Lepisosteus oculatus: one gene and its partners. The main gene of each other region encodes a partner of the protein of the gene in region 3 in a complex. Links are inferred from orthologs where the notes say so. Each region holds a gene or a part of one and is shown on either strand. Other genes may lie near its edges.

Region 1 (7,702 bases), on a different chromosome or scaffold from region 3:
GACTGACCCTGGCTGTCCTCAGTGTCCAGCTCATCAGACAGTGACACAGACTAACCCTGGCTGTCCTCAGTGTCCAGCTCATCAGACAGTGATAGAGACAGACAGAGACACAGACTGACCCTGGCTGTCCTCGGTGTCCAGCTCGTTGGCCTGCACTGCCTTGCGGATCTGCATGCGGATGATGTCGATCTTGGTCTTGCTATCCTGCAGCATCTGCTGTGCCGTCTGGAGGAGCTTCCGGTCCTGGAGCAGAGAGAGGGAGAGGGAAGCACGAAGGCCTGAAATGTGTCTGAACTAAAGAAGGGCAGAGCGAGTCTACGGTGGCAGAGTCTACATGAGAGCACCAGGAAGGAAAGAGAGAGAGTGCTGGAGAGCCATACCTTGGTGGAGCCGTTGGAGTACATGTGAATCATGTTTTCTGCCCCCTGCTTGACCTTCAGCTCGATGTTGAGCTGCTTCTCCAGAGCGGCGATGCGGTCTTGGTTGGCAGAGGAGCGGCTCACTGTACCAGGTGACTGAGGGGCATCTGGGAACAGACAAACAGCTTGTCTCTTACACAGTTCCGACAGTGCACCAGGGCTTCACTGTCACTGTGCTCTGTGCTCTGTTACTGTGCTGCCTGCTTTGTCACTGCACTATACCACTTTGTCACTGTGCCTTGCTCTGACACTGCGCTCCGTCACTGCGCTCCCATGGTACGCTCCGTCACTGCGCTCCAATGGCACCGTCGCTCGCAGAGCTCCGACGGCACACTCGGTCACAGAGCTCTGACGGCACACTCGGTCACAGAGCTCTGACACCGAGCTCTGACGGCACACTCGGTCACAGAGCTCTGACACTGAGCTCTGACGGCACACTCGGTCACAGAGCTCTGACACCGAGCTCTGACGGCACACTCGGTCACAGAGCTCTGACACTGAGTTCTGACGGCACACTCGGTCACAGAGCTCTGACACTGAGCTCTGACGGCACACTCGGTCACAGAGCTCTGACACCGAGCTCTGACGGCACACTCGGTCACAGAGCTCTGACACTGAGTTCTGACGGCACACTCGGTCACAGAGCTCTGACACTGAGTTCTGACGGCACACTCGGTCACAGAGCTCTGACACTGAGTTCTGACGGCACACTCGGTCACAGAGCTCTGACACCGAGCTCTGACGGCACACTCGGTCACAGAGCTCTGACACTGAGCTCTGACGGCACACTCGGTCACAGAGCTCTGACGGCACACTCGGTCACAGAGCTCTGACGGCACACTCGGTCACAGAGCTCTGACGGCACACTCGGTCACAGAGCTCTGATACTGAGCTCTGATGGCACACTTGGTTACAGAGCTCTGACACTGAGCTCTGACGGCACACTTGGTCACAGAGCTCTGACACTGAGCTCTGACGGCACACTCGGTCACAGAGCTCTGACACTGAGCTCTGACGGCACATTTGGTCACAGAGCTCTGACACTGAGCTCTGACGGCACATTTGGTCACAGAGCTCTGACACTGAGCTCTGACGGCACACTCGGTCGCGGAGCTCTGATGGCACACTCGCTCACTGAGCTCTGTCTCAGCGCAGTGCTGCTGTTACCTCTGATCTCGTCAGGGCCCTTGACGACGATGTGTGCGTCCAGCTCCTGCAGCTGTGCGTGCAGCTCGTCCAGGCGGCGGTTGGAGCTCTTCAACATGGTGTCCACGCTCTGCAGGTTGCGCTTGTCCGTGGTGGCCCGCCGAAGATTCTCCGCCCCTTCCTTGATCTTCAGCTCCCGACGGATCTCCCGTCGAATTCGCTCCCGCTCCTCGTCCAGGCGCTGCTGCACGCTGGTGTCCGAGAAGTCCGCATTCTGGTCCAGGCCCAGCTGCTCCAGAACCGACAGGCCCGCTGGATCACTCTGTAAGAGAGCAGGAGAGGAGGAGGTATTGTGAGAGACTGAGGGAGAAGGCAAGAGAGCTCAGCTGCTGCGAAACTGACAACACACCTCTGTCCACATGTCACTCAGGGAAAGAGAGAGGGAGGAGAGGGTTGGAGAGAGGGAGAAAGCAGGGAAAGATGCAGGAGACAAAGGGACAGGGAGAAGAGAGGGAGGGAGAAGGAGGAGAAAGGGGTAAAGAGAGGGAGAGAGGAGGGAGAGAGCTAGGAGGAAAGAAGCAGGGAAGCAGCTGACAGCCATGTCCACAGAGAGAGGGATTGTGGGACAGAACAGAAAAGGCTTGTGGGGGAGGAAGGCAGAAACAGAGAAAGAGCAAGACAGGGACAGAGCTCCGTCACTGTCTACAGTTCACTCTTGTGCCCCCTGAACACTCTTCCCAGAGACACAGCGCAAACACAAACTACAGAAGACAGTCTGGTCTAAATCCCTGCAGGGGCCCATCAGCCCTCGGCCTGCAGCGCAGACTGACTCACTTCCTGTTTCCTCCATAGGCCTTCCGAGAGCAGCACCGGGCTGCAAGACTGCTGCAGAATAAAGGATTCTGTTTCTTTATAGAGACGGACGCTGCACTCTCTCTGACCCAGGCTGGATTGGAAAGCCCCTGCCTTCTGCATCCTCCGAGAGCAGACAGGACAGCGTTTCTGAAACTCTAAAAACTTCGCCAGTTATTGTTTCCACACCTCCGCTTTGGGGGACACCCAGAAGGCAGCGTGTCCATCTGCTCTTCCCATGTTTCCTAGAGCAAACCTGACTTCTGTGCTGTGAAACATGTCTTGCGTTCAGCCCATCAGGAGGAGCTCTGTGAGTGTGAGGTCACTGGTCATGTGACTCGCAAGACGCCCATGTCTACAGAAGATCTGGTCTCCTCTCTCTCCACGCAGCACAGCTTTGGTTCTGCGCTGAAAGTTTCCTCCTTCATTTACATAATTTTATTGCAACTGTACAGAACCACACCGCAATAATGCCTTTGTCTATTGTGTAACCTGATGCCTGAAAAACTGAAATCCGTTTTTCCTGATATTTCTCACAACATTCCAGATCCTCCTAAGTGAGCATGAAGAGGCATGCCGCTCCTCTGTCGCTCCATGAACCACAGAGGGCAGACAGAGAGGTGGCAAGTACACTGCAAACTCACAGGCTGCCTCAGAGCACGCTCAGCAGATCTGTCTAAGTGTCAGGACCCTTAGGATAGCCCAGATCTGAGCCAGCGAAGTCCGGGCGGAAACAGAACCCTATGCCAAACAGTACATGTATTGGAAGTAGGGGGTGTGGAAGGGATTTGACTACATCCCCTCGAGCCTGTCACCAAATGCTCTGATAGTAGGAGAGTTCTCTCTGTTAATTCGTTATTAACTAATCCAGCTCACAGTACAGTAAATCCAGTCCAGCCCTGGAGAGTCTCAGACTGCTCGGTCAGTGTGAGTCTGATTATAATCTCAGTTAGTAACTAATCCAGCTCACAGTACAGTCAGTCCAGTCCTGCCCTGGAGAGTCTCAGACTGCTCGGTCAGTGTGAGTCTGATTATAATCTCAGTTAGTAACTAATCCAGCTCACAGTACAGTCAGTCCAGTCCTGCCCTGGAGAGTCTCAGACTGCTCGGTCAGTGTGAGTCTGATTATAATCTCAGTTAGTAACTAATCCAGCTCACAGTACAGTCAGTCCAGTCCGGCCTGTGCTCTGTGATGTCAGGAGGAGACATGCGAGGCTGCTATCTATTCCTGCTCTCAGCAGATTAGCACTGGGTTTAACAAGTACGAGTTCATATAACAACTAATGAGTCACATAGTAATGAGACACATTCAGGATGACAACTCTCTGGAAAACTGAAGCCTGTTGACCTCTCAAATCGATGACAATTGAATCAGAAAGAAAAATAAACAGATTAGGATGGAAGTGATCCCTGCGCGGTGCCGAGCCTGCGCCTGGCCGTCCTGACAGCACCCTCCTCTCCCCTCCCCCATCGCACACACACAGGTCAGCCCCGTCCCTGGAGGCTGAGGCCCGGGGCCACGCGGGGCCACACACACACACACGGGGCCCCGGCGGGGAGATGGGAGTGGCCGACACAGGAGCGGAGCAAGAGAACGAGAGGGACGGCGGCGAGAAACCGAAAACCGCGACGTCAGCCAACGGACACTGGAGCGCCGGCGGCCGCGGGGCCGAGCTGCCCTACCGCGGTCTCGATCTCCGGAGCGTCGGCCGCGCTCTCCTCCGCCCGCGGCCCGGGCCCCGGGCCCTCCTCGCTGGACATCGCTGGAGTCCCACAATCCCACGCTCCCAGGCCTCCCCCCACCCCTCCCTCGCCGGCACGCGGCACTGGCCGCTCCCACCCGGACTGGATGTGCAGGGGAGGGAGGACAAAAAAAAACAGGCGAAACTTGGAACAAAATAAAGAGCACAAGGTCCCGAGCTGCCGCGCGAGAAACAGAGAAATAATCTGCGCCAGCCCCACCCGGGGACTTCCTGTTCTCTAACTGCTGATGGAGGGACGGCAGGCAGAGAGAGAGAGTGACTGAGCTGGTACGTGTTGCAAGCTCAGCCACACAGCTTCCTTCCTGCTGTCACTGGCTCCGGGAGGCGAGAGGTCGAGACGCTACGCTCGTCTCTCGCTTCTGAAAACGCAGTGGTGGGGGTGGGGGGGGAGACGTCAGACCGGCACGCGGGGGGCTCGGCTCAGCCGGGGCGCTCCTGCTGCCCATACGCCACGCGCACGGACGTGTGGCGGCATCTCTCTTGCTCTCTTGCCCCCATGGCTGCCTCCCCCTCCCGGCCACCACTGCAGGGTCCGAGCGGGCCGCCCGCGTCTGCTAGCGCCCCAGCTCTCCGCCCCCTTCCTCAATCCGGACGCACGCAGACCGGAGGGGAAACTGGGAACCGAGAAGAGGGAACTGGCCGCTGAAACACGACGCGCTTCAGAGCAGGAACGAGAAGCCGGAGCAGAGACGCGGGGAACAGGCCGCAAGATCAATGGGCTCCAATGCATCACCGCTGGCGAACGGGCATGGGCCGAGAGACGTCGCCAAGCTCGAGCACCGCTTGTGCTTAAGCTGTTTGTCAGCTCAGCCAGTCCCTGTGTCAACCCCTGCCTGTGTTTGTCAGCAGGCCCCTGTGTCAGTGAGTCAGTCAGTCACAGTCGGCAGGCCCCTGTGTCAGTCAGTCAGTCACAGTCGGCAGGCCCCTGTGTCAGTCAGTCAGTCACAGTCGGCAGGCCCCTGTGTCAGTCAGTCAGTCACAGTCGGCAGGCCCCTGTGTCAGTCAGTCAGTCACAGTCGGCAGGCCCCTGTGTCAGTCAGTCAGTCAGTCAGTCAGTCACAGTCGGCAGGCCCCTGTGTCAGTCAGTCAGTCAGTCAGTGAGTCAGTCAGTGAGTCAGTCAGTGAGTCAGTCAGTCACAGTCGGCAGGCCTCTGTGTCAGTCAGTCAGTCAGTCAGTCAGTCACAGTCGGCAGGCCCCTGTGTCAGTGAGTCAGTCAGTCACAGTCGGCAGGCCCCTGTGTCAGTGAGTCAGTCAGTCACAGTCGGCAGGCCCCTGTGTCTGTCAGTCAGTCAGTCACAGTTGGCAGGCCCCTGTGTCAGTGAGTCAGTCAGTCACAGTCGGCAGGCCCCTGTGTCAGTCAGTCAGTCAGTCTGCTGTATCAGCCTGTCAGTTGCAGTTAATATCGTTGCCAGTCATCAGTGTCTGTCGGCCAGCATTTCAACAGCGGACCACATGCTGATTGCTACACTGCAGAAGAGAAAGTTCGGAGAGCGAGGAGATCTATTCTGAGAGCTGCAGGAGCTTGTCTGCTCCTGCGCTGCTCTGCGTGCCGCAGCAAGAGAGGAAGGGCAGGCAGAGGGGCTTCACCAATGAGGCGATCAGAAGAGAAGGGACGTCCGTCCTCGAACAGCAGGAGAGGAACTCTGCCCACAGAGCGCTGCCGAGGCAGGTCAGCGGGCACCGCTGCCCTCACCCATCCCCCAAGCGACGCCCCCCCAAGGCCAGACCCGGGTCCGGTCCCCCCGTCTGCAGAGGACCCCGAGTCGTCTGCGAGCCTCTGCGGAAGTGGAACCGCCAGCGCACAGCGGAGCACTTCCTGCTGCCGCGCGCCGGGAGCAGCAGAGAGAGCCGGGCCGGAGGAAACGAGAGCACCTGGCCCGCCGACCCCACTCCCCCCCCGGCCGGTCGGCCCGTCGGCGTGGCAGGGTACCTACACTCACAGTGATCCCCATCCATGCCTGCTGTGTCCCTACGTGGGCACGCGTCCGCTCGGGGCTCCACGCTCGCTCCCTCCCTCTCTCTCTCAGGCCACAGAGCACGCCACAGCCGGGGGACTGATCGCTCATCGCCGCTCTTAAAGAGACAGCAGCACCCTCAGCCCCGCTGGACTGGCTCAGACGAGGCTGGAGCCCTCTCTCACACACACACACCTCTGCTCCTGGTGGACTGCCTCAGACGAGGCTGGAGCCCTCCCTCTCTCTCTCACACACACACACCAGGCCTGGTCAGCACTGGGATCTGCTGTGAGTGGTGGACCAGTATGGAGTCAGTAATTACAGCCTGGCCACAAAAACTGGACACAGACAGACCTGATTGTCCATAGAGGACAGGCTCAGTGACCACAGCCTGGCCGTAGTAACTGGACACAGGCAGACATGGCTGTCCATAGAGGACAGGCTCAGTGACCACAGCCTGGCCATAGAAACTGGACACAGGCAGACCTGGCTGTCCAGAGAGGACAGGCTCAGTGACCACAGCCTGGCCACAGAAACTGGACACAGGCAAACCTGGCTGTCCAGAGAGGACAGGCTCAGTGACCACAGCCTGGCCATAGTAACTGGACACAGGCAGACCTGGCTGTCCGGAGAGGACAGGCTCAGTGACCACAGCCAGGCCATAGTAACTGGACACAGGCAGACCTGATTGTCCAGAGAGGACAGGCTCAGTGACCACAGCCTGGCCACAGAAACTGGACACAGGCAAACCTGGCTGTCCAGAGAGGACAGGCTCAGTGACCACAGCCTGGCCATAGTAACTGGACACAGGCAGACCTGATTGTCCAGAGAGGACAGACTCAGTGACCACAGCCAGGCCACAGAAACTGGACACAGGCAGACCAGGCTGTCCAGAGAGGACAGGCTCAGTGACCACAGCCTGGCCATAGAAACTGGACACAGGCAGACCTGGCTGTCCAGAGAGGACAGGCTCAGTGACCACAGCCTGCCCACAGAAACTGGACACAGACAAACCTGGATGTCCAGAGAGGACAGGCTCAGTGACCACAGCCTAGCCATAGTAACTGGACACAGGCCGACCTGATTGTCCAGAGAGGACAGGCTCAGTGACCACAGCCTGGCCACAGAAACTGGACACAGGCAGACCTGGCTGGGCTGTCCAGAGAGGACAGGCTCAATGATACTAGGCTGGCCACAGAAACTGGACACAGGCAGACCTGGCTGTCCAGAGAGGACAGGCTCAGTGACCACAGCCTGGCCGTAGTAACTGGACACAGGCAGACATGGCTGTCCAGAGAGGACAGGCTCAGTGACCACAGCCTGGCCATAGTAACTGGACACAGGCAGACCTGATTGTCCAGAGAGGACAGGCTCAGTGACCACAGCCTGGCCACAGAAACTGGACACAGGCAGACCTGGCTGTCCAGAGAGGACAGGCTCAGTGACCACAGCCTGGCCACAGAAACTGGACACAGGCAAACCTGGCTGTCCAGAGAGGACAGGCTCAGTGACCACAGCCTGGCCATAGTAACTGGACACAGGCAGACCTGGCTGTCCGGAGAGGAC
Region 2 (7,930 bases), on a different chromosome or scaffold from region 3:
CAATAATATAATGTGCCATTGAAAATGCCATACAACAGAAAAGCAATTGATATGAAGTATCTCTTCAGGCCCAACATCTAAACTGCCACCAGGCAGCTGTTGTAAGTCAATACTAATTTTCTACAAGAGCTGATAATGATGTTTGCAGGTTCAGACTTACTCCTTAAGGAGACTGGAACACTTATTGATCAATGGACTCCACAATGAGTTTATTATGCAATCATGCATCAACTTAATATCAACTGCTATCATCCAGGCTTGTGAATTCTGCTATACCCACAGAGTATGCCTAAACTATGTTGGAGCCTTAAGTCACTAAAATAAGAGCTTTTGTAGCCTCCTTCAAGTAACTTAGTTAATTATTTGAATTTGCTTTTCAGTGCAAAGGAAAAATATTTAATACCGAGACTGAATGAAAGTAACCAAAAAGCCAACACAGCTTTAAGACTGACAAAGTCAACCCTCTAGACTTCTTCAGCATAAACAGTGAAACACGAACCAGGGCACATAAGTCGAAACTTCATGGAAGTGATTTAAAACCCAGAACACTTTCTTTATCCAAAGAGTTGGGGGGGTGTGGAACAAGCTGACCAGCCATGTATTTGAAGCAGATACCACGGCTTGCTTCATGAAACACCTGACGATTTGAAATGCACTTTCCCCACTCCTGGTCATCTGGTTTGTGTTTTACTGCTCATTCTGCAGAAATCCAATTGGCTGACTTTGTTGAGGCCTTTGAGGATTTTGGATACTTGGATCGGGGTACTGATACATGAATCCAATCCAGTTGACACATTAATCGTAATCATGGTTCAAATTCCACTGGACGGGTAAAGTTGCAAAATTGGGGAGAGCTGTGTGGAACATGTTTCCTTGCAGTTCGGGCAGAGGAAAGTCATGTCATATAGGAATAAACCTGCAGGATTGCTTGACTTGTCTCGTCCCTTTAAAAAAAATGGCACCGCATGCCTCCTACACACCAGCACCTCTCTCAGTCACAGCATATAAACGCGCAGCAAGAGTGAGTCAGCCACGCCATTCAGAAAACACTAGATGAATCACAACCTGAGCACGGTACAGACGACAAATGGGGAATTAAGGAGTTGGAAGACAACACCGAGAGGTGCTGACAACTACGACAAAAAGGCGACTAAATACCATTTACCGACGTTAAAGCTATGCGTGCAGAATTCTGCAAGTTATACTGTCCCATTCAAGAGGTAAGAATGAAAGCCCAAGTCTTAAAATACACCCGTTTCAATCTTTCACCCAAAATAAACATGTGCTTGGTGTAGATTCCCGTACTTTTACTCATTGCAGGTTGTTTTGGCGCTAGCACAGCGCACACGGAGGAAAAGCCCCTTTTTTTTGCCCCAATGAAAACAAACACGCCTTGGCAACCTGTTTTAACGCACGTTCGCGTGGGCTTTCCCAGATTTGCAAAGTGGCATGGATACTTTGTAGGAATTATCTTTCCCTGTGCCCTTGGGTTTGAGGTACGGAGGAAGTCTGCTCTAAGGCGACTCGGATACCAGGCTCGGGTTTTTTTTTCTCCGTGCTGTGCTCGCCGTTTTTCACTGCCTTTGATAATGAGTCGCAATGCCTTTAATCACGTCTCTAACGTTTTGAACAGAGGAAATCAGACGGAACCCCCCACGCTGCCCAGCAAAACTGTGATTGCTGTAGTCCTTGCAGAATATTGCTGCTATCTAGAAAAACAAAATCGTTGGTCTCGTATTTTTTTTTTGAGATGCACGGAGTTCGCACGGTCACGTGAACAGTTCGTCACCCTCTCCCGGCGATAACCTACTTTTCTAACTTCCTAAACTAATGCCCAGCTGCTCCTGGCCAAGCCCTCGACCACCTCCCGAACCGACCCGCCATTCCCCCCCGACACCCACACAGCTGCGCACGCTGTTCCGGGTCTTGCACCACCACCCAAGAGGTCGCAGCTCAAACTGCACGCCGGTGTCCTCAATATCGTTAGGAACAAGCCCGGTCCCTCTTCAGCTGGCTCGGGCCAAATGCACCAGAAAACTTTGCTGCTGCTTTTTTTCTTTCAATCGTTGCTTGGGCAACAACAAACTGGGACCCGGTTTAAATCGTGCATTCTTGGCTAATATATATATAATGCTTTTCCGTGCCGCGCCACTGAGCCAGCGAGCGGCTTAAGTTTCCGCATAAGCAGATAAAACAGGAATTATTTGTTCTGCTTGTATCCCAGCGGCGTAGTTTCTGGAAATAAAAGGCTGAAATTAGACGGGGAATTCGTGACGGGCGATACTTAGGGAATTAGAGAGAGGGGGCAAACACGACCCTAGGTTGAAGCCCACAAGCAATTAAACTACATGTGCGGGCTGCAATAATCTGTTTTATTGAATGAAACAGATACACCTGGACCTTTACTGCTTTTTTTTTGTTCTGTCCAGTAATTAGCAAAACAGCGCCATAAGCAATTTAAGGCGATCTTCACTTACCGGTGTTTCTGGACATTGACATGTTGTGGGTTCCCAATTCCGAGGTGCAAGCCTTTGATTTTGTTGTGCACTGTACAGAAACGCCTGTTGAAGAGCTGGGGGGGGTGGACAATACACGCACAGAAACAGTATCCGTTTTCCGAGACTCAATGCAACGACAATCCTGCCGGGCTTGCAAGGAGCACGCAGGCTCGATCTGCAGGGAAATCGCCGAACCGAACCGCACAAGGAGGGACGGATCTCTCAACTTTTGTCCGCTGTGCGCTGTTGCAGAAATCGTCGTTGCTCAATCAAAGAAACAATGCCAGAATTATGTTACCGGTACAGTGCCAGAGCACACCGTACACCAGCGGCGGTTTCTACACCATAGGCCGTAGCAGCGTAGAGGCATTCATGAGAAGCTCCCCCAAATTATTAATGAAAAAGTGAAAGCAACAATACAAATAATTCATTAATAACCCCCCCCAAAAGCCACAAGGTACAGGACTCCGTTCGTTCTCTCGGTGACTGGAGGTTTTAATCAATGACGTCATCCAAGACCGTACTAGCGCGCTCGACCAATCGGAAGGCGGCAGGCGGCGCTGCGGGCCAATGGGAGGCGAGCGGGCCGGCCCTCGTTCTATCAAGTTTGAGTCCCGAGAAAGAGAATTGCTGCTCTGAAAGGGTGTAGCATCCTCCTGCTGGCGAGCTGGTGCTCTGAGATTTAGGAAGTGGCAAGTTCGTGGGGTGTTTTCCAAAAACTGCCACGCCGGATGGAAGTATGTGTACTTGCGTGACGTTCGTTTCCACCGACAGCGTTACGGGTACTTGCGGAATTACGCGCGGTGTGAAGCAAAAAAAAATAACGCACCTTGTTTTTTTGGTCGTGTGCTATCAAAAAGAAAAACAGTTTCCAGTCTCGCGTAGCAGCTATTCTTTGACGGCATGACGTTAGAGCTGGTACAATGCATGTTTCACTACACAACTGCGCAGACTGTGAGGCGGATTCTGTCATTATGTTGCAGCGTCGTACAGCATTTACACAAAAAACACTTTCCAAACTTCTTTCTACACGTGCATTAATAAGTGACGTAAGTTGCAGGGTCACAGAATACTTGCTTATTATTGTTGTTCAAGAGAAGCACCTGACAATGAGTCACTCAGATCTGTTTCGTGATTGCAATGGATTAGGTACTACAACACCTGTTTTTTGGCTGTTTATTTTTTAAGATCCTGTTCAATGTGAATAAAAGATTTCTAAACGAAAAGCGTGGCTTCCTCTCCCTTTAACTAAGCCGCATAAATAAAAGTCAAAGTTGTTGGAATAGCAGTAATGGAGGCTTTGAGCAAGTTATTGATGCTCCTAGAGTGTAACTCCTGATCAAGTCTTCAGTGTCAAAGATTTGTGCAGCGATGTACAGTATGTGTCGCCATCGTTATGATTACTTTGGTGCGACAAGCCTGTTCTTACACCGTTTTACATTCAGGTCTCAAACACGTGCTTTAAATCTCTACACCTAATATTTCTTTTAATATTAAAAAATAATGCTGGCCAGGAATAGACTCAGGCCCCCCTGTGACCCATATCAGTTAAAGAGGTTAGAAAAGGAATGGATGGATTAAAAACTAGATGTGGTTTTCTAAATCATGAGAGTTTTGTTTTAAAAAAAGGTTGTCAAAGCAGTCCCTTCTTGCATCCGGTAAAAGAAGCTAATTATGCTTTGAAAACATTTCAAAATGCCTATTTTAAGGCATGAATCAATCGCCTCTCCAGCATCATGAGATGCTAAATGAATAAGTACTTGCAATTCTTTCCACGAAGAAAGAGACTTCATTGGACAGCAGTCCTAGATTGAACAAGGGTCAGGCTTCACTTTCTGGACATGCAGCTTGAATGACTAAAAGTAAACAGTGCTGTAGAAGTGATCACATGGCTCTCTTCAATTTGAGCCTACAACCCTCTAAACCTTGAGTGCATGTCTGAACTTGTTGTCTGGGTTTGTTACAGGGTATTGAGCCCTCTAGTGGAGAACACCATGGAATAAAAAACATGGTATTTCATCTGCAGCTGGAGAGAAAAGTTGTTCTAATCTTTTCTTCTACATTTCTAAATGCCCTGTGCTAATCCTAAACAATAATCTAATTTTCACAGGAAGTTTAAATATTATTTAGGGCATCATACTGTTTTGGAACAAGTACTAGGTTTATTCCATGCTGGAAAAAAAGAAGAAAGAGAACACGTTTCGGCCGTGGACCCTTCTTCGGGATCAAACTGTTTTGTTCACTTATAGGATTATTGTTTAATACATGTAATCTACTGTTCACATAGAGACAATGTTTTTCGTTTTTTATCAACCATTTTTTCAAGAATGTTTCTATCCAGGTCCCACTTTCTCCTCTACCGCTCCACTACGGCAGTGCACACTTGATCAAGAAAGCTGGGAATCGTCTCGTCTTTTAAACCAACCAAGTCAGCTATTCATTTGCAATACAGACACAACACACGGACTCAGCTAGCAGGATGTTTCCAACCTATCAGATACAAGGAAAGTAACCTGCTGCAAATTCACGGAATGGCAACCGACACCAGTGCCAAAATCTTTGTACTGCCAAAACATCTGGCATCATGTATTCACCTTCTACATGCCAAATAATAATAATAATAATAATAATAATAATAATAATACAAGTGGGGAGCTGTGTCAGCATGCGTAGACTGCAAAGGAACAAGTGAAAGGTTTATTACATGCTGAAAAGAGAAGAGAGAAAACAACGTTTCGGCTGTGAAATCTTCTTCAGGTGCGAGAAAGACAGGGCAGACAGCAAAGATGAAATAGCACAGAAGAACAAAAGCTGAGAGAGGGGAGGACACAGGAGGAGCAGAGAGGCAACTCAGGAAGTGTGAAGGGGAGAGAGGTGAAGAAAGGTGTGAAGTCAGAACCTATTATTATTATAGAGAAAGCTTTGAATTTTCCTTGATCCTAAAGAAAGCTTATCCTAATGTGTTAATTATAATTCAGCATCTTTCAAAAGGGCCGCGATACTGCAGCTTGAAGTGGTCAGAAAGGCCCTTTGACTCGACACACCTCACGCAGTGTCAGCCTGAGAAATGACATTCGGCTTGCCTGTGACAGAGTGCGGTGCTCCTGTCACTCTCCGTCTGCGAGACTGCTCATCTTCCTTTGAAACTGATTCGTTTTGCCACGAGAGACTTCACAGGGTGTCCGTGGAGGGAGCAGAAGATTGAGGTCAAACCACAGGTAGACTCGGTAATCCTTCACCTTCACTGCGAGCGATGCCGTTGGATCATTCGGTATTATCTGCAAAGCCCAGAGAGAGAGAGGAGGTCAGTGAAGGGAACTCATTTAAGCTCAATTAGCATTCTTCGCATTTTTTCAAATTCTTCCAAAGTCTTTGCCTTCTTATGCAAAGGAACAATCAGGAGGTGCTGCAGCGACTCATAGTTTCTTATTAATTGATCAACAACATAATCAGTCACATAGGTCTTAACGTTCTAGACCATTGTGATTTCTTAGTGGTAAGATCACTATAAAACTATAATTTCTCGTTTCTTATAAAAGAATAGCATCCTGCTAAACACAAATCTTAAAAGTATCACGTGCATGCAACTATCTGAGCTTAGACATCGTAGTATTTGTTGAATGAGAACTTCAATGATTTGTGCAAAAGCCGTGGGCCACGATATGGAGGTTTGTAGCTAACATATAGAAACTGGGGATCGGAAGTTCACAGCTGGAGAGTTTCAATTCTTCCCAGAGCCGGACAGCAAATGCTAACAGCTTCCCTCAGGCTGGCTGCTTGTGCACATATGGTAAAAAAAAAAAAGTGTTACCGCAGCTGCCAGCTAATTTTGTGAATGGCATTTCGCAATATGGCACACTCACTTTTTTAACAGGGGGCCCCCAGGAAAAACTGAAACTTTGTATCCATAGGTAAAAGACTAGGTAGGCTAATGACCAATTTATGATTTTTGTGCAGGAATCAATCTTTGGAGTAAGCAACGCGTTCTCAACACCAACAGTCTTCCTATGGGCATGTATGTGCCCTGAGTACTTTAGCTGTTTTCCTAGCACCGAAGTGACATTTCATCCTTAATTGGCCGCTCTCTAAAGATTTGACAATGGATGCTTGTGTCTTTGTGTTCGCTGATGTCTTCCTGAGTGTAAGAGTAGGCAACACCTCTCGGTTCCAGACAGGCGTCCCTCTGGTTTTTCCATGCTGATTGTGTCCGTACGCGCATGGGAGTCATGTATTTCAGTAACAGTCGCTTCAGGGTTTAAGGCCTAGGAACTTCTGCCATGGATCTGCCTTTTTTTTTTACTTTTCCTGGGCTACTGAGAGCTTGAGCACATCGTCTCAGGGTGTGTGTGTGTGTGACTGGACAGTGGTCTACACGCAGTTATACAAAAATTAATTGCAGCTCTCAAGTCATGCAAAGCTGCAGGCGACACGCTTGCCTGCACATCAGCGGCTCCGGTCATGCCAAGAGCCGTGCCTACAGCTGTCGCGCTGTGTTCACACTATAATCTCCAGGGCTTGCACTGGAGCCGGAGGGCACGACATTTGGGGCCCTTGGCCTTCCTTGCGCCGGCAGAGCCTGGGAGAGCTTTGCTCCTTTAACGCAGCAGCAGCGCAGCGGATCAAAACAGTTGCTGCGGGTGCTGATTGGCCACAGCGCCCCACGTGTCCCTCCAGCTGATTTCCTGGGGCTGGAGAATGTGTTCTCTTCACTTCTCTGTCAGTTTACGGGATCATGAATCCTCTCCGTCGTAGTTCGCCCTACTTCGTAGCCCACTGATTACCTATTTGCATGATCTCGGGAGAAAATACTAACAGAAATAATAGAGATGGCCCAGGCAGCGCAGATTAACGTCCTCGAACAACTCAACTGCCCGATCAAAGTGGAGCACGACAGAAAGAGGAGGCAATTCACTGTTAGATTAAACGGTAAAGTCCGGAGATCGCGATTGCAAATGCACTTTACTGCAGTTCCCCCCCCCTCCCTTTGTTTCCAAACGAGCACTTTGAAGAATCGTGTTGTTGTTGCTTGCTTTGACGAGTCATCCTCGCCGTACTCGTTTCGCATCGTCGTTTTAACAACGGTAATCGTGCGGGAGTAAAAGCTGAAGTTTAAAAACTAGCGACGTCTGCTCTAACCCCCATAACCCCCTCCCCAAACACAACACAAAATGTGTTTTTAGATATCTCCATTTTCAGACCGGGGAGGTTGTGATCGCGGTTGGTTCCGGTAATTCACGGAGCGACGAAAAGACTGCAAACTCCCGGCTTGTTGCTTAAAACCCCTCGCTGCAGCTGAGGTATAGTTTTCTTCTAGACCTTGTTTTGTTCAGTTTCCTGTCACCGAAAGCGATGCCTTCCTCCCCTGTTCTTTTACATTTCAGCCTTCACGTCGCCCTAAAATACGAAGCGGGGTGGGGGGAACGATGTCAGAT
Region 3 (7,487 bases):
GCCCACAGCAGATGCAGGCGCTGCAGCAGAGTACTCTTCCCACTTCCAGCCTCGCCCGATATCAGCACTGTGTCCGCCTCCTTGTTCACGACCCCGACGGGAGACAAGATGTCCTCCAGGCCCAGAGGTCGCTGTGGCTCCCCAGAACCCTGCGCAACCTCCAGCACCCCTTCCGTGTAGATGTCCTCCAGAGACAGGTTCTCCATCCCACCGTACATGCTGAGGAACCGAGACTGGGCTGAGACCATGCTTCTCAGCTTCCTCTGGTATGTCAGAGGAACCGGATCTAGGAAACAAAGCCAGCGCACTGTATGTTTATCACTGCAACACAAAAATAGCACTGCTGAAACAGGTTTTGAGGAAAGGGAGTGATCACGATAAAGAAGTTCAAGTAGGCAGCTGTGTGGGCTGCAAAGGAACAGGTAAAGGTTAATTCCATGCTGAAAGGAAAAGAAAAATGACGCAATGTTTGGGCTGTGGAGCCTTTTTCAGATGCGACACTGGTCGGACACTTGAAGGAGGCTGCACGGACAAAACGATGAGTCTCTTTTCTTTTCCGTTCAGCCTGGAATAAACCTTTACCTGTTCCGTGATCATGTTAATGCTTATCAGGCTTTTAAATGAAATTGCACCAGTTTTGTCCAATATAACTAGTCCAGTGTTCACAGCACTGAATGGGAGAAAAAAAAAGTTTTAACAGGACTGATTTCCCCCCCAATAGATGAACACTTGGTTTGGTTGAGTCCAAGAACAGGTTTTACCAAAATGTTCCCAATATGATGATTCTGGGTGGATGGTGCGCACGATGGCGCAGTGGGGAGCTTTGCTGGAGCCCTGGGTTAGATTCTGGACCTGCGGTGCTGTCTGTGTGGCGTTTGTAGTTAGTTGTATATAGTTTGTAAACCTGGGTACGCTTGGGGTTTTGCCAGCTGCTCCAGTTTCCTCCCACAGTACAAAAAAACAAGTGCAGCTCAATTGGCTTCTGGGAAAATTGGTCCTAGTGTGAGTGTATACGACTCTGTGTGTGCCCTCTGATGGACTGGCATCCTGTCCAGGAAGTATCCTGCATTGTGTCTGCTGCATGCTGGGATAGGCATTGGCTCCCCCACGGCCCTGATTTGAATGAAGTGGCCAGAAACTGAAGCGATGGATTGCTTGATGAATGGAATTATAATGATTCGATATTAAATGTTGCCCACTCTGTTCCCAGACATACCTGGTTTGTGTGTGTCATCCGTCAGAGGCTGCGTGGGTCCTTTTCCTGTCTGCTGGATGTATGACAACAGGACCTCAGCTGCTGCCTCTCCCTTTGATCCGGCAAGATCCAGCAGTCTCCTGGCCTGCGCAACACAGACGCTTGACACCACCGGCATCTCGCAGGCTCCTGGTGTCCGGACCACAGAACCAAAAGCAGGCTCCAGGTGTCCAGACCAGAGAGACCCAACAGCAGGTTCCTGGTGCACGGACCACAGAACCAACAGCCGCCTCCAGCACATTCTTGACACTTGACGTATGTGTATGTACACTGCATTCTCTCACACTTCAACTGAAATGTGATTTGTGCATTAATCTGACTGCATTCAGTTACTGTTAGGGCACATATCTTCCTTTTAATGCTGCGGTATGAAAGCCATGCTCTGTCTCTCCAGGAAAAGGCAGTTTTGTTCATATTTAACAGATAGTATTACAGAACCACACTAAAAGAACACGTCTTTTCAGAAATAAGGCAACAATGACTGCTTAGTGCTGGATTTATTTATGTGAACTATCAATGTTTATATAAAGCATCATATCCCAGCTCAGGAATCCATCATGAAGACTGCGTACAGGACTGATCCCGTCAGACCAGACTTGTGAGCACAGAATTTCATAAGGCAGCAACATTGAGAAGCTAATAGCGTAATTTGAAAATCCTATGTGCACAGGAAGGTGTTGGATCCAGACAGATCTCTCAAATCCTGCGAAAAGAGACATGCAAAACTTGTCTGATGAAGTGCAAATTCCTCGGCTTCCCTTACCTGTTGCGAGGGTGTGTATATGGGCAACAGGACTTCATCGCAGTCATAAGCGCTGAAGCAACCTGCTTCCCTGAGGGTCCTCAGAGCCCCACCAGTGTTGCCATGGAGCTTCCTCACGAGACTGGGCCGCTCCCTCTGCAGGGTCCGAGTGCCAGTGGAGGGGATCTGCTCGGCTCCTCTGACCGGGCAGCTGCAGTTCCCCAGGGACAAGCCAGCTTTCTGATCCTGCGGGAGCACCTGGCCGATAGCTGTCAGCAGGAACTGGCAAGCCATCTCTCCTTTGCTCCAGAGGAGGTCAAGCAGTTCCCGGGCAGTAACGTGCAAGGCCTGCCCCGGAGCCCGCAGGCTCTCATAATCCTCCCCCAGCAGGACGTCCCAGGCCAGCAGGAGGTCCAACACGCTCTCCAGCCCGTCTGCCGCCCCCCCGCCCAGCACCCTCACCAGCTCAGTCCTCTGCGTCTGCACCAAGAGCTGGGCGCGCATGCCTCATCCTTCAGCACGGCCCTCCAAGACTCCCGCCAGACAGCAGCCCCACTCCAGCTTGCTGGAAGACAGAAGACTTCCACAGCACAGTTACTGACCTCGACTTGAGAAGGCAGTCGGACAGAAGCCCAGCAGGCGAAACTGACCTGATCTGGCTGCGCCAGTGGGCGGCTTGAAGTCGATTACTATTGCTGACCTCCTTGAGCTCTCTCAACAGTTCTGACACTACTGGAGCTCCACACCCACAGCAAAGTGGCGCTTGCAAAACAGCACAGGAAGCATCGCCTTCCTGGCATACAGTACTTACAGTGATGAAGAACTTCCCTTCGTGATGCAAACAGCTCCCTCAAAACGAAAGAGAAAATGCACCAAGCCTTGCCTTTACTACCCGGAGAAAATGCCCGACAGGCCGGGTTCTCCCCGTGTGCTCGGCAGACCTGTGACCCGTGAAAGCGCGCTCTCAACGCGGCAGACAGCGCGACTCACAGTACGTGCGACCTCCTGGCAAAGTCGAGAAATTGACCTACGGCAAAGAAGTGAAATGGGGAAGAGGTGTGCCAAAGGCGATGGGGGGTGTTCTTAAATTCAGTATGAAAATAATGTCTCCTTTTTTACTAAAGACAGCTGCAATCTAGCAATTTCAGATTTCCAAAACACGCCCCTGGACACAAGCCCAATGCTAATTTGGTGCAACCTCTGAATAGGTTGCTGAGCAGGTCACTGTAGAAGTGGCACAAAATCACCTGTAGGTTTTAATTGTGAAGTCTGACGGTCCTGTAGAACGCTTTCTGTTATTTTCGTACGTGCCAGTCAAATTGTTACCGGAGAATCCTTTTTCAGGTTAAATGGCGTCCCAAGACTTTTCGGCTCCTAACTACTGATTTCGTTAAATGTTTTTTTTCATGATAACTGGATTTTATTTTTCATCCGCCTTCCTTCATATCACTTTTGCCGGGGTCTGGCTGTTTTCCCCAGCTTCAGCTGAATGCGAACTACACAATCATTTTGGCCCGGAATAAAACATGCGCTGGTTAATCCTGGAGGTTCTACTTAAGATGTAAGGAATTGCATGTAAGAGAATAAAACCGCACTTTTAATTGTATTCACTAAAGATGTCAAAATGCGGGATTGACGTTTATCCCTCATAGAGTCTATTACACGAGTCTATCAACTCCTAAGAAGCGGTCTTCATTAAATTTTCTCAGCGTTGGAGTTCTGTTCACTGATATTTGTTATTGTGATTATATTACTATATTATTGTTGTAACACGTACAACAGTACAAATAAACACGCACGAAGTGTCAATGTTGACCGTAAAGGAGAAGCGTCTCCAGCAAGCGGCCTCGTGGATCTAGGGTGTTAGACTGATGACTGTGTATACTGTATATATATATATGTACACACACGCGTGTTTTACAGAATCCCTAAAAGATACTCCCTGAGAGGACAAACAGACGGAGAAGCCTTACTGGGGAACCAGGTCCGTGAGGGGCGGCACGCAGGACGGCATACAATCTGGAGACGCTCGTTAACTCGCTGCACCGGTGCACTGAAGGAGTCGGATAGTTTCAGCTTCACCGTCCGTTTCTTTTCGAGAATCAAATCTGGAGCCTATTTTGCGTATAAATAAGGTTTAAATCCAAACGTTTCTTTGACCAACATCGCAGACGTGGACAACCGAAACTAACATAAAAGGCAAATGCTGACAAGATTAAAAAATCCGAGACGAGACAATTTCTTACGTGTCAGCTGCATTCTTGTCCTACAGTAAAAGCTTCCAGTCCCGGTGACCCACACACACACCTGTTGGTTTTGTCCCAGCCGAGTCCTCAGTTATACAGTCAAACCCTCCATTGACTTAGTAGTAAAAAGATTAATTTGAACTGCCTGTTCCCCAGCTCTTAAGCATGTTGGAACTTGAACCGTGTAATTTCGTAAATGAAATAAAATGCAAATATTCAATTGAGGCAACTTCTGAGATCAAGTAAGACTTCGGTTCTCTGATGAAGGTGGGCTGGGATCCGCTGGTCTACAGTGATCAAACGACACCTTATTCCGTCCCGCCCCCACATACAGAAACAGGTGCCCGATCGCGTTTGGATTTCTTTTGTATCTAAACTTTATTATTACCACTTGAAGAGCAACACTGCTTTACTGTGTATTCCAGTGGTCCCAAGCATAATTGTCCTTAGAATATATTAAAACATGGTAATAGGGGAAGTGACTGTGATTTTGGAACACAGAAATCCAGGTGTGAACACTTGGAACATTTGCAATTAAAAACATCAGGAGAGCTGCTACTGGCTCATATTGACACATTTAAAGACATTTTTTCAATTCAATAAGTGGGGTTGGGGGGGCACTTACCATAGGAATCTCCAACCCTGGTCATTCTGAGCCTCAAACCAGATATTATTAAAGATCACCCCTCAATCACCTGTTATGTAAGGATTAGAGACACTTGGTTAAGTAATTGATCAATTAAGCAAGTAATGGGTCAGTGAGAGGACCACTTGTCTCGCTGAATGTCTTAAATACACCAGTTCCTTCAGAAACTGATGATGTAAAGGCTGCCTCTAAAGTCTGGACTGGGGCTTTTCAGGATCAGGGTTGGAGATGTCTGACACAGATCCTGGAGATCCTTACATTTACTTAGTTCAGGTCTCCCGTCTCCTGCATCTAAAGATTTAGAACACTTTGAAGTTATTGATCAAATTGAACAAATAGTTTGTTTAATGACCTTTTCCTTCACAAGATGAGGGGTATTCACATTTTTGTTCTAAAGTATCTTTTACGATACTTAAATTACCTTACATGGCCCACTGGACTGGAAAGTCAGCAGCACCAGAGCTGGCCTCTGGCTTTTTTAGCCTGCTTGTTTTAAGGGGTTGGTCCTGCTCTTGGTATGAGCCACTTTCCTTGGTGGGTCCGAGTGAAGGGAAGCGATTGCAAGATCTGACTCAGAAGCCAGCTGATTCATCTCTGCCCTGCACACACAAGCACCACTCCTTCCCTGCACACACAGACCTCCACCCCCTCTCCACAGTGTGAGCGCAGACCAATCACAGTACACATCGCAGACCAGCACTTCCTTCCTCAAAGCCCGAGACCTGTTTCTCTTTTTCTCCCCCTAGGCAGTGCCATTTGACAGAGTCTAGCGTGACCTTGCAGGGCCAGAACGCCCAGGCTAACAGGATGCTCACCTCCGTCAATATGGCATATTCATCCTTGGTAAGAGAGCGCAACACGTGAGCATGGTGTGGAACTGAAAACATTAACAGGAATACACTGGCACGGCAGTGCGGGTAAGCAGCCCAGTTTTATGTTATATTTCAGCTCCTGATGCAAACAGAACAGGGAGGTTCAGTGCTCACCAGCCAAGTGTATTGTAGGAGGTCAGAGTTCAGAGGTCAGAGGCCAGGGGTAAAACCCAGTTCGTCACAATTTATGCTGGTTTCAGACCCGCGCTTGTCCACAGAGGTGCTATACTACAAAGCCATGTAGAGCATCACTTCCTCATTTTACAGACTCGCCAAACTGTCAGCTGGGATACAAACAGAGAGAGAACCTTTGAGAGAGGAAGCCCAGTGTTTTGGCTAGACTGTGGATCAAGTGAAAGAAAAAGTAAAATAATGTTATTATCCCATAAAGGAGGAATTTTCAGTTAAGTACACCAACAGCATTGTTAATAGCAACGACTTCGAAAGGACGGGTACCCCCTAGAATACATTTGAGTTTATCTAGTTTCTCTGGGGAAACTGATTAATTATTCTTCAAACACAAAGCTTTCATTGTGGTTGTGTAGTTTGGATTCGTATGGGTTTTCATTTCCATTTGACCTTGACTGCAGTGGAGAGCTCAGCTCTGCCTGCAGAACTGCAGCTGTAGCTGGTTGATCTCTAGCCCAGTTGCACTCACTTATCCACAGGCTACAGCCTGGGCTCTTGCTGCGCTTCCCAGAGATATCCGCGCAACACGAATTTCTAAATTCTCTACATCACTCCTTTAAGAAAATGAAAGCACAGATTGATTTTAAAAGACCTCCGGATCTTTCCCCAAGTGCAGTTTGCATTTCTAAGTTGTTGTTTCCAATGGAGACCTCTAAAGACAAAGCAGTGCCTCAGAGAAATATTTCTAAAATTTTGTGCTCTCTCCCCTGTCCCATTCATGACACTGTTCTTCTTCTTTTATTCAGAAATCACTTACAGGATAATCACAGACTAATGGTTAGGAAACAACCCAATTAATCATATCGGAAACGTGCAGATTAATTTAATTGTCGACTGTGCTTCAAAGCTAGGCTTTTATGCATGTCCATATCAAGATTATTTGTAGTATATGAAATGCCCGTATTCTCCATCATAACATTCCAGTTAGAGAACGAGCAAAATTCAGATAAAATATGAAAGCATCACAACTCCTAGATGGCTATAAAATCAGAATGGTAACAAATTAAAAACCCTTCAGCTCATCACACCCGTTTTGGCTGCAAGATCTCATCCATCTGTTTCTCAAGGGTTCACAGGGAATCGGCTTCAATCCAGCATCTTGGTGGCTTGTTCCAGGCACCCATCCCCTGTTTGTAAAAGAGTGCTTTCAATTCTCAGTCCTCAGTGTGCTTCCTCATATCTTCCAGTTGTGCCCGCTGCTCTTTGCAATGAAAGTAAGACACTAGGACTCTGTATACAATATCTATTGACTATACTGTATGTGTCTCATGTCCTTTGCATAGAAAGTAAGACACTAGGACTCTGTTTACAATATCTATTGATTATATGTGTCTCATGTCCTTTGCAATGGAAGTAAGACACTAGGACTCTGTATACAATATCCATTGACTATACTGTATGTGTCTCATGTCCTTTGCAATGGAAGTAAGACACTAGGACTCTGTGTACTCTGTGTCCCATCACAGGGAGACCCAGACTGTTCTGCCAATGGGGGATACCTGTGATGATGGGCAGATGGGTCCCTGCCTGGACGAGG

The links.
Region 1: nod2 (region 3) and pkn1a share a complex: the UniProt entries of both Homo sapiens proteins name them as parts of the signaling complex. The link is inferred for Lepisosteus oculatus from reciprocal best matches to the Homo sapiens genes NOD2 and PKN1.
Region 2: nod2 (region 3) and dual specificity mitogen-activated protein kinase kinase 3 share a complex: the UniProt entries of both Homo sapiens proteins name them as parts of the signaling complex. The link is inferred for Lepisosteus oculatus from reciprocal best matches to the Homo sapiens genes NOD2 and MAP2K3.

Annotation. Positions count from the first base shown.
Region 1 is NC_090706.1:13,882,360-13,890,061, forward strand, and holds the start of pkn1a (serine/threonine-protein kinase N1), read right to left. Parts: upstream 3,006-7,702; 5' UTR 2,541-3,005; coding exon 2,400-2,540; intron 1,888-2,399; coding exon 1,587-1,887; intron 527-1,586; coding exon 381-526; intron 244-380; coding exon 120-243; intron 1-119. UniProt on the Homo sapiens protein: PKC-related serine/threonine-protein kinase involved in various processes such as regulation of the intermediate filaments of the actin cytoskeleton, cell migration, tumor cell invasion and transcription regulation.
Region 2 is NC_090714.1:4,276,549-4,284,478, reverse strand, and holds the start of dual specificity mitogen-activated protein kinase kinase 3, read right to left. Parts: upstream 3,006-7,930; 5' UTR 2,500-3,005; coding exon 2,478-2,499; intron 1-2,477. Other genes in the region: protein NATD1, read left to right, coding at 7,325-7,424. UniProt on the Homo sapiens protein: Dual specificity kinase. Is activated by cytokines and environmental stress in vivo. Catalyzes the concomitant phosphorylation of a threonine and a tyrosine residue in the MAP kinase p38.
Region 3 is NC_090715.1:2,169,750-2,177,236, reverse strand, and holds the start of nod2 (nucleotide-binding oligomerization domain-containing protein 2), read right to left. Parts: upstream 3,007-7,487; 5' UTR 2,502-3,006; coding exon 2,019-2,501; intron 1,341-2,018; coding exon 1,217-1,340; intron 287-1,216; coding exon 1-286. Other genes in the region: snx20 (sorting nexin-20), read left to right, coding at 7,439-7,487. UniProt on the Homo sapiens protein: Pattern recognition receptor (PRR) that detects bacterial peptidoglycan fragments and other danger signals and plays an important role in gastrointestinal immunity.